Linked DNA regions of Macaca mulatta. The protein of the gene in region 2 interacts with the protein of the main gene of each other region in a biochemical or structural test. Links are inferred from orthologs where the notes say so. Each region holds a gene or a part of one and is shown on either strand. Other genes may lie near its edges.

Evidence for each region. The genes of interacting proteins can lie anywhere in the genome.
Region 1: the proteins of RPTOR (region 2) and AKT1S1 interact in a biophysical measurement, tested with the Homo sapiens proteins (2 studies listed by BioGRID and IntAct, with this or other methods). The link is inferred for Macaca mulatta from reciprocal best matches to the Homo sapiens genes RPTOR and AKT1S1.
Region 3: of the proteins of RPTOR (region 2) and MAPK1, one has a biochemical effect on the other in vitro, tested with the Homo sapiens proteins (2 studies listed by BioGRID, with this or other methods). The link is inferred for Macaca mulatta from reciprocal best matches to the Homo sapiens genes RPTOR and MAPK1.

What each region holds. Positions count from the first base shown.
Region 1 is NC_133424.1:62,332,154-62,334,661, forward strand, and holds the end of AKT1S1 (proline-rich AKT1 substrate 1), read right to left. Parts: intron 1,478-2,508; coding exon 1,334-1,477; 3' UTR 512-1,333; downstream 1-511. UniProt on the Homo sapiens protein: Negative regulator of the mechanistic target of rapamycin complex 1 (mTORC1), an evolutionarily conserved central nutrient sensor that stimulates anabolic reactions and macromolecule biosynthesis to promote cellular biomass generation and growth.
Region 2 is NC_133421.1:90,615,278-90,618,797, reverse strand, and holds part of RPTOR (regulatory-associated protein of mTOR), read right to left. Parts: intron 2,958-3,520; coding exon 2,854-2,957; intron 2,223-2,853; coding exon 2,039-2,222; intron 340-2,038; coding exon 229-339; intron 1-228. UniProt on the Homo sapiens protein: Component of the mechanistic target of rapamycin complex 1 (mTORC1), an evolutionarily conserved central nutrient sensor that stimulates anabolic reactions and macromolecule biosynthesis to promote cellular biomass generation and growth.
Region 3 is NC_133415.1:31,200,578-31,204,097, forward strand, and holds part of MAPK1 (mitogen-activated protein kinase 1), read left to right. Parts: intron 1-1,678; coding exon 1,679-1,793; intron 1,794-2,095; coding exon 2,096-2,227; exon of another isoform or gene 2,228-2,714; intron 2,715-3,520. UniProt on the Homo sapiens protein: Serine/threonine kinase which acts as an essential component of the MAP kinase signal transduction pathway. MAPK1/ERK2 and MAPK3/ERK1 are the 2 MAPKs which play an important role in the MAPK/ERK cascade.

The sequences.
Region 1 (2,508 bases), on a different chromosome or scaffold from region 2:
CAGTCCTTTTATAATAGAAGACTCCCGGCTGGAGTTCCTGGCTTTGCTGGTGAATATGTGGCCTCCTCTGGCTCCAACCATCACCCCAAGATTGGGGTCCATGGTCACACAAGACTGGAATGCTCTCTTCCACCCCATGAACCTCTTGTCTTCATATGTATAAAATGGGCACAGAGCCAGGCGCGGTGGCTGACTCCTGTAATCCCAGCACTTTGGGAGGCCGAGGCGGGTAGATCATTTGAGGTCAGGAGTTCGAGACCAGCGTGGCCAACATGGTGAAACCCTGTTTCTACTGAAAATACAAAAATTATCCGGGCGGCAGTGGCGCGTAATCCCAGCTACTCGGGAGGTTGAGGCAGGAGAATCACTTGAACCTGAGCGAGAGTGGGACCCTGTCTCAAAAATAAATAAAATGGACACAGTCATTCCAACCCCCAGCTGTTCACTGATAATCAGACGTTGCCATTCGGTTTCAGAAAATGTTGAATGAACACTCACGACACACCACACATTTATCTGTCAGAGGTAAAACTCTTTAATCTCAGAGCGCCCTTCCCAACTGCCAATCCCCCAACCCCTCACTCTCTCCCCTACACCAGGGCCGGAGAGTGAGGGCCCCTGCCCCCCACCTTGGGTGGACGAGGGCCCTTTAAGGCACCTGTGGAGGTGGGGGGCGAGGGACGGGAGCTGGTACCATCCTGGATGCAGGGACGGGCTTCGATTGGCAGGCTGTTGTGGGGATGGATGGAACCAATGAAAGGGGGTGCCAGAGGCAACGACCCCAGCCCCCGTAGTGTAAAGAATGTAAATTGAAGGCCCCAGGCCAATTCTGGGAACAGGAGGGCTTGGCCACGCCCCCACAGGAAGCTGGAGCCAATCAGGAGGGACAACTCAGGAAAAGCGGACGATGACTATGCGGAGACTGGTCAAGCCCTTTAAAGGATTCGAGCCAATCAAAAATAAGAGCTGCCCAGCGACTAGGGGATGGAGCCAATGACGTGCGAGCAAAGCCCTTGTCGCTAGGCGAAAAACAACGGAATTGACCCATTTAGAGCTTAGAACTGAACGAGCCAATCCCTTAATAGAAGGAATCTGTCGCTAGGCGGAGAGGCGCGACAGACCCAATCGGGAAACGGGACAGATCCCGCTCCTCGGCGCGGGAGGTCATGGGCTGGAAGGGCGACGTGGATTGGCAGAGGCGGCTCAATCCTGGGAACCGGAGACGCAAGGAGGCGGGTCCCGGATCGGCCTCAGATTGGCTGGCCCCGGGAGTGGGGCGGGGGCGTAGTGTGGGACGGGGCGGATGAGGCCCGGGACGCTCCCTCCCTGGGCCTCAGTATTTCCGCTTCAGCTTCTGGAAGTCGCTGGTGTTAAGCCGCGGCCGTGGCAGGTCCCCGAAGACCTGGGTGTCCTCGGCCTCTCTCAGCACCAGCGCGCGCATGCTTGCCGCGATACGGTCCAGGTCGGGCGAAGAGGGCTGCGGGGGGGCGGACGACGACCGGGCGAGGTCAGCGCCGGCAGGGCACGCCCCCTGCACCCACACGCAGCCCAGGGGTGCACCCTGGCTCCAAGCCCACTCCTAGCACGTCCCCGCCCTGCCAGTTGTGCCCTGCGATGCCCACTGCCAGCAATGCCCTTCCCGTCTTGCTCCGCATAGGAACCGTTCTACCCGGTTCAGACACCTCCTCCACGAAGCCTTCCTGCCCCTCTCCCTCCCCTTCTTGGCCTGGGACATTACTTCCTACACATGGAAATGCTGTTGTCTGCTATCTATTAAGGCTGCGTGCACCCTCTCAAGTCTGAGGATCTGGGCTGGGATTTCAGTCATGTTCCAATCAGACCTCTACTGCTGACTAGCTGTGAGCAAGAGGTTTTGCTTCCCTAGGCCTCAGTATCCCCTTCTGAAAAATGGGAGCGGATAACAGGGTCTCTGTGAGGACTGAGATAATCAGCTGTTACTGCTTTATCATGTGGCCACTGCGCTACAGAAAAGATCCCTCCCTGTGTCAGCCCCCACCAAGGAGCGGTCCTGTCATTCCGCCTGCAGCTCCGGCACCTAGTACTGCCTCTACTACAGCCCCCGTCACCCTGAGCTGGGCCTGTCCCCTCGCAGGATGGGACCCGGAGACCCAGATCAGGAACTGGATCTGAGCCCAGTGGGAGACCAGCTCCTGGGCACAGCACTCTGGAGGCCAGAGCGTTCAATTAACTGTGTTGCCATGAGTCGCCAGCACAGACATCAGCAGCAGGAGGACCCTGGCTGCACCAGGCCCTGTTTCTGGTCTTCGGCGCTCACTGCCTCATTGAGGGAAGATGCACAGAAGAGGTCACCACTGTGACTGCTGGTTTGCACATGAGGACACTGAGGCCTGAGGGGGAACTGTGGGGACCCAGGCCTCCTCCCTCAAAGCCCACAGCTCCTTCCTGAAACGCAGCTGGGTTCCAGTCCCAGCTCTGCCTCTCAGGGAAGTCACATGTCCCCTCAGTGCCTCAGTTTCCCCTCTGCTT
Region 2 (3,520 bases):
CTACCACAACCACAACCACTACCACTACCACAACCACAACCACTACCACTACCACTACCACAACCACAACCACAACCACTACCACAACCACAACCACTACCACTACCACTACCACTACCACAACAGCGACACTCCCACAGCCACGAGCCCTGAGTGTTTATGCTCAAAGACGTGGGACAGACACACGTTCGCTAGGACTCTACTCTCAACCCCGTGCTCCGGGCGTACCTTCATGACGGGCTGGGCGAAATAGCGGGCACTCCAGTCGCAGAACCCCGTCTGCACCGTGGCGGAGATGAAGCTTTTGTGTCCAGCAGCATCGTCTGCATCGTCCGCAGTCTTCAGGGTTTAAGCAGGAGGGGTGGAAGGAAAAAGAAACACCAGTCAGTCATGCCACTCTTAAGCTCAAAAGAGCTCCAGCAGGGGACAAAGGCATTGCCGGGCGCTCCGGGCTGCCCCTAAGGACAGCACTTCTGTGCTCTGCTCACTTCCATATTCTGGTGACCAAGAGCCCCTGAACATCTGGCCTGGGATTGAGGGGCCCGGGCTGAGAACCCCTAAATGTCTGGCCAGGGATTGAGGGGCCCGGGCTGTGAAGCGTGAGCCACGTCTGTCCCATCATCCCCAGGGCCGACCCACCACAGCTCCCAAGTCAATTCTAGCCGACTGTCCAGACAGTGCCACGCGCGTCCCTGTGTGCTGGTCTATCAACCCCAAAAAGCCTCCGCCGCGTGGTCCCAGGACAGCTCCCCTGATGGCCCCGTGACAGCAGGCTGAGAGCGGGGACTCCGTGTGAAGTGGCCTGGACGGAGCGTGCAGCTGTGCAGGCCGGCTGGGCTCCCAGCCCCTGGAGAAAGAGGATGTGGAGCTGAGGAGGACTGAGCTTTGCGTGTTTCCTGTTGTGGAACCTGCGGCGGCCAGGGCTGTCAGAGTCTGTGTGTGTTTGTGCAGTGAGGCTGGGCACCAGGGGTCTCCTGTGCCACGCCATATGCGTGGGGGTGGGCCTGCTGGCATCTCTCCTGCTGTGTCTTGGCATAGGGAGCTCCCCGTGATCCCAGGGCAGGCGCAGTGAGAGGTGCATCCCCCCCACCCTAGGCAGCTGCTCTGGCTCTGCAGTGAGAGCCGTGGCCCAGGGCGGGGTCAGGTGGGGGCGCTGCACGTGCCGGCGGCACTGCTCCCCAGGACCGTGGCCTCCTGTCCCCATCAGGGGCTGGCCAGGAGGCTGACCCTGCACTTGGGGCTCGGTGGTGGTTCTTGCTCCTCCTCTGCCAAGACACGGAAAGTCCAGGTGGGCTGGGGCTGAGCAGCACCTGTGGGGACCTGCCTGCTCCTGCTGTGACAGCTCTTCTACCCCAACATGGCCGTTCCTGCTCCAAGGCACCCTGCAAGGCGGCCACTAACTTCTTTTAAAATCACTGAATGACCAAGCGAGCCCCGGACCCCACTCCGTTGCTGAGCTGATCATGCTGTCAGAACCCAGAGCAGCTGGGTGTGCTGGGTGTGCCCTGAACCACCTTCCTGAGCTCCGGTGCCCTCAAGTGACAAAGTGGCAACGCCTGGACGAGACAGCCGAGGTCTCCAGACCAGCCACCGCCTCACAACGCTCGCACAACCCCAGCAAAACAAAGCACACATTCCTCTCTCCAGAAATTTCTTTTTCAACTTAGTTAAAGGCAAAGAGAGCGCACCTATTTATGCAGTGTACTTGGACATTCACAGAAAAGACAACCCATTCAGAACAAACGCTCTGTAGTGCAGCTGCCCCTGAGGGGACGCAGAGTGCTGTACGCCCAGGAAGGGGAGAGCCGGGTAACTCCACGCTCCTGTTTCGTTACATGGAAGCTGCCAAGAATGGTGAACCCAAAACCAGGGGCGGAGAACCAGGACAAACCTGGCAGTACTCCTAAAGAGTGCAGGCAGGGGGTGCATGAGCAAGGGGCAGTGCCCGACGTAAACAGCCTGAGGCCGAGGCCATGAGCCCCCATCTGAGAAGCAACACTATCAGTGTCCAGATCACGAGGCAGCCGGGGCTCCGTACCTGCTCTGGGCCCTTGTCGAACATCTTCCGTGTCCGGGGGAACTGGTGGGAGTGAGGGGTGTATTGCGCCCCCGCGGGGCCTGTGGTGCCCGGCCGGCCAGAAGGCAGGTCTCGGCTGACCGGCTGCTTGGCCACGTCATTGGTCAGGCTGGAGCTGCTGGTGCTGGACGCTGGAGGGGAGCCCCTGCCATTGGGAGAAAAACAAACACTGCGTTCTCTGTGGAGTCTGGAGCTTCGAGGGGAAACATGGAACAACTTCCTGGGCCACCTGCACCCTCCCAGATACCACCAGGGCCCAGGGTGTCCTCAGTCTCCCGGCACACCAGCTGCTGGTGCCGAGTCCATGCTGCTCAGTTGCCCGACTGGCAGGGGGCAGGGGTGTCCCTCATTGAACTCCAGCGCCCTGGAAGGCAATGTGGACAGCACGAAACCAGCTCAGAGCCGAGTGGGCCGGGATGCGCAAGCTCAGCGCACAGCAGTGCCACGTCCTGAGGTGCAAACACCTGTTGGTTACCCACTTGGAGATCTAGATCCCCTCTTGAGAACTCTGAAAGGCCACAGAGACCAGGCTTAGTTCAACTTTTGCTGAGACGATGTGCAAATGAAGGGTTTCTCAAGATAGGGGAGAGTTCAAGGCAGGGTACCGGGGTGTCCAGGAGGGAGAGGGAAAGAGAATGCCCATTAGAGAGGGGGGAGGAGATGAAGCCAAGACAGGGCGGGGAAGGAGGAGGATGGGGAGGCTGACTCAGGGAGAGCTCAGCCCGTGGGGCCCTGGTGACCACTATGGACCTGCAGGCTGAGCGGGCGGCACTTACCCCGCCTGGTGGATGTGCACACCCTTGTTGGTGGGGCTGGCAGGGGCCGACTGTGTGAGGGAGGAGGTGTCCAGGACGCGCTGCGGCCGGGCATTCACGGTGGCCTAGGGGCAAAGGCATGGGGGTGTGAAGGTCAGACGGGACGCGCTCTGTGGAGGCCGCCACAAGAAGCAGAGGCTGGTGGCTGCCGTGGAGCCGCTTCAGTCCCAGAAAAGGCCTTTGACCGAGGAAGCGCCAACACCAATGGAAGGCCCCAGCTGGATTCCCCCTAAATGCAACCCCAAGCTCAAAGGGCATATTCTTTACTCTTAGAGGACACGCACCCGCTGGGCCAGCCCTGGCGTGGCCGTGGGAGCTGGGATGTCTGGGGAGGAAGCTCTGCCTGAGGCTCCCAAGGGGTCAGGGCCTGAAGCCTCTGAGATGGACGAAGGCCCGCCCTCCTCACCTTCCCTGCCAGAGGGGCGGCTCCTGGGCGGCCTCAGTGTCCTCCCCCTTGCCTGAGGCTGGGCCTCTGCACCGTCCTGGCCTTGAGTCCAGTGCTCCCCAACACCTCAGTTCTCCGGTCAGAGGCTGTGAGTTGAGGCCCGGGAAGAATCCACCAGCCGTGCTCTTTCCGGAGCCGGGTGACGGTGGCATTCGTGGAGGGTCAGGGAGGGCTTCATCTACC
Region 3 (3,520 bases), on a different chromosome or scaffold from region 2:
TTGTAGCCCCAGCTACTCAGGAGGCTGAGGTGAGAGGATCACCTGAGACAAGGAAGTTGATTTTGCAGTGAGGCATGATTACACCATTGCACTTCAGCCTGAGTGACAGAGTGATGATACCATCTCTTAATTTTAGAAGAGTCACCTTATATTCCTTGGAGAAACATCTTTTTTGCACCATTGTTATAATTCAGACAGAATCCTTACATGATTTTTTTTTTATTTTTATTTTTAGAGACAGGGTCTCACTGTGTCACTCAGGCTGGAATGCATTGGCTCAGTCATAGGTCACTGCAGCCTCCAATCCCTGAGCTCAAGTGATCCTCCCACCTCAGCCTCCCGAGTAACTGGAACTGCAGGTGTGAGCCACTGTGTGTGGCAAAAATAATAATAATAAAATAATTAGATAATACCCGGTGTTGTTGAGGACATGAGGAAATGCATTTTCTTTCACATGCTGCCATTAGGAGTCTAACAGTGCTCACTGCAGCCTCAAACTCCTGGCCTCAAGCAGTGCTCCCACCTCAGCTTCCCAAAGTATCCTCCCATGACTTCTAACAGGATTCCTTTAAAAGAAAATATATTCCTGAAAAATGAATAGGAAAAGAAGATGAGAATTCTTTTATTTATTTATTTATTTATTTATTTATTTATTATTATTTTTTGGAGATGGAGTCTCCCTCTGTTGCCCAGGCTGGAGTGCAGTGGTACAGTCTTGACTCACTGCAACCTCTGCCTCCCAGGTTCAAGTGATTCTCCTGCCTAAGGCTCCCAAGTAGCTGGAACTATGGGTGCCCACCAGCACACCCGGCTAATTTTTGTAGTTTTAGTAGAGACGGGGTTTTACCATGTTGGCTAGGCTGGTCTCCAACTCCTGACGTCAGGTGATTCGCCCATCTCAGCCTCCCAAAGTGTTGGGATTGCAGACATGAGCCACCATGCCCAGCCGAGAATATTTTAGAAGAGCTTGGTAAAATATGTTGGAGTTAGCACACTCTCCCCCCAGCCCAGAAAAGATTTTTAGACCTTTTTTCTTTTTCCAGCTCCAATTTATGACAATTCTAAATCTGTCTCTCAAATTGTTTCAAAAAAGGACTGATGTATACTTTGGAAATTCTAATTTAATAAATTAATCAACTTTGTGGGTTTGTTGTTGTTTTGAGACGGAGTCTCACTCTGTCACCCAGGCTGGAGTGCAGTGGCACGATCTTGGCTCACTGCAACCTCTGCCTCCTGGGTTCAAGCAATTCTCCTGCCTCAGCCTCCCACATAGCTGGAATTACAGGCACCCACCACCATGGCCGGCTAATTTTTTTTTATTTTTAGTAGAGATGGGGTTTCACCATGTTGGCCAGGCTAAGCTCAAACTCCTGGCCTCAAGTGATCTGCCCACCTCTGCCTCCCAAAGTGCTGGGATTACAGGAATGAGCCACTGTGCCCAGCCCAAGTTAATCAACTATGAAGAGAAAAATAAAATCACATAATCTTGGTTGTTCAGCTTCTCAAAGAAAGCCAAATTGTTTTTTGTTTTTCCATGCTGTTTACTCATCTTTCCGAATTGTGGAGTCAAAGGAGAAGTTCAGAGTCCCATCAGCAATGTACCTGTCATACAGGAAGATCTCTTCATGTCCTATAACACCAGATGCCATTTTCAGTCTTGTCTCTCTTTCTCCTGCAGGGCTACACCAAGTCCATTGATATTTGGTCTGTAGGCTGCATTCTGGCAGAAATGCTTTCTAACAGGCCCATCTTTCCAGGGAAGCATTATCTTGACCAGCTGAACCACATTCTGGGTAAGGTTCCCGAGCCCTTCAGGAGCTAAATTTACTCAAGTTTGCCTGCCTACAGCTTATATCAAAGTCACTTCATTAAATTAAGAAGAATTCTAATACACTCTTTAACCTGTGGTAGGTGTGAATTTTTAACCTTCCCTGATTTAAAATGTTAAGGACTTTTGTGTAAAAACTTAAGAAAGGTAAGCATTAGGGGTGGTGATAAACCGTTAATTATCAGGGTTCATTCTGACTCACAGTTGATGGTGTGTAGTCATTTGCCTTGGTCTTGATAACTAACAGCTAATTTTTTTATCTGATAGGTATTCTTGGATCCCCATCACAAGAAGACCTGAATTGTATAATAAATTTAAAAGCTAGGAACTATTTGCTTTCTCTTCCACACAAAAATAAGGTGCCATGGAACAGGCTGTTCCCAAATGCTGACTCCAAAGGTAAATGTTATTTCGTTGATTAGTTTTTTCTAGACTTAGCTTCATGTTTGTTAAATTGTTAGGTCACTAGCCTGAAAAGTGAGCCTATGGCTATTGGATAATGCTTTCTTTAGTGCTCACTCTGAATTGCTGTCTTCCCTTTTTTTGGGAAACAGTGGCAGTGCAGTAAGGGAGCCTGGTAATGACTGTCTAGTTCTCCCCCTTTTGGTTTCTTTGCTAATTTTAACTTGCATTAAGGTCACTTTCTTTTGTTTTGTTTTTGTTTGGGACAGAGTCTCACTCTGTCGCCCAGGCTGGAATGTAGTGCCCCAATCTCAGCTCATTGCAGCCTCCTCCTCCTGGGTTCAAGCGAGTCTCCTGCCTCAGTCTTCTGAGTAACTGGGACTACAGACACGCACCACCATGCCGGCTCATTTTTGTATTTTTAGTAGAGATAGGGTTTCACTCTGCTGGCCAGGCTGGTATCGAACTCCTGGCCTTTTGATCTGCCTGCCTCGGCCTCTCAAAGTACTGGGATTACAGGCGTGAGCCACAGCGCTGAACCCTGCAAACAAATCACACCTTTTCATCTTGTCACTTGATAATTTTTAAAATCAGGTTTATTGAATAATAATTTACACAGAATAAAATTCACACTTTTTAGTTGTGCGGGCCTCTGAATTTTAACAAACATGAACTGTCGTATAACAACCGCTGCAATTGAGATGTGGAATAATACTCCCATCATCCCCAAAAGTTGCCTTGTGCCGTTTGTAGTGGGTCACCCCTCTCCAAACCCAGTCTCTGGCAATCATTGATCTGATTTCTATCCCTATAGTTGTGCCTTTTCTGGCATGTCATGTTAATGGAATCATGGAGTATGTAGCCTTTTTATGTCTAGATTCTCACATTCAGCATAATGCATTTGAGATTTATAAAAATCCACGTCATTGCTTGTGTCAGTCTCTTCAACAAATGGTGCTGGAACAATTAGACACCCATATGCAAAATTTACAAAACTCAAAATGGAACATAAACCTAAATATAAGGCCTAAAGTTATTAACCTTCAAGAAGAAAACAGGAGAGAATCTTCATGACCTTATGTTAGGCAAAGATTTTTTTTTTTTTTTTTTTTTGAGATGGAGTCTTGCTGTGTCGCCCAGGCTGGAGTGCAGTGGCCGGATCTCAGCTCACTGCAAGCTCTGCCTCCCGGGTTTTTACGCCATTCTCCTGCCTCAGCCTCCCGAGTAGCCGGGACTACAGGCGCCCACCACCTCGCCCGGCTAGTTTTTTGTATTTTTTAGTAGAGACGG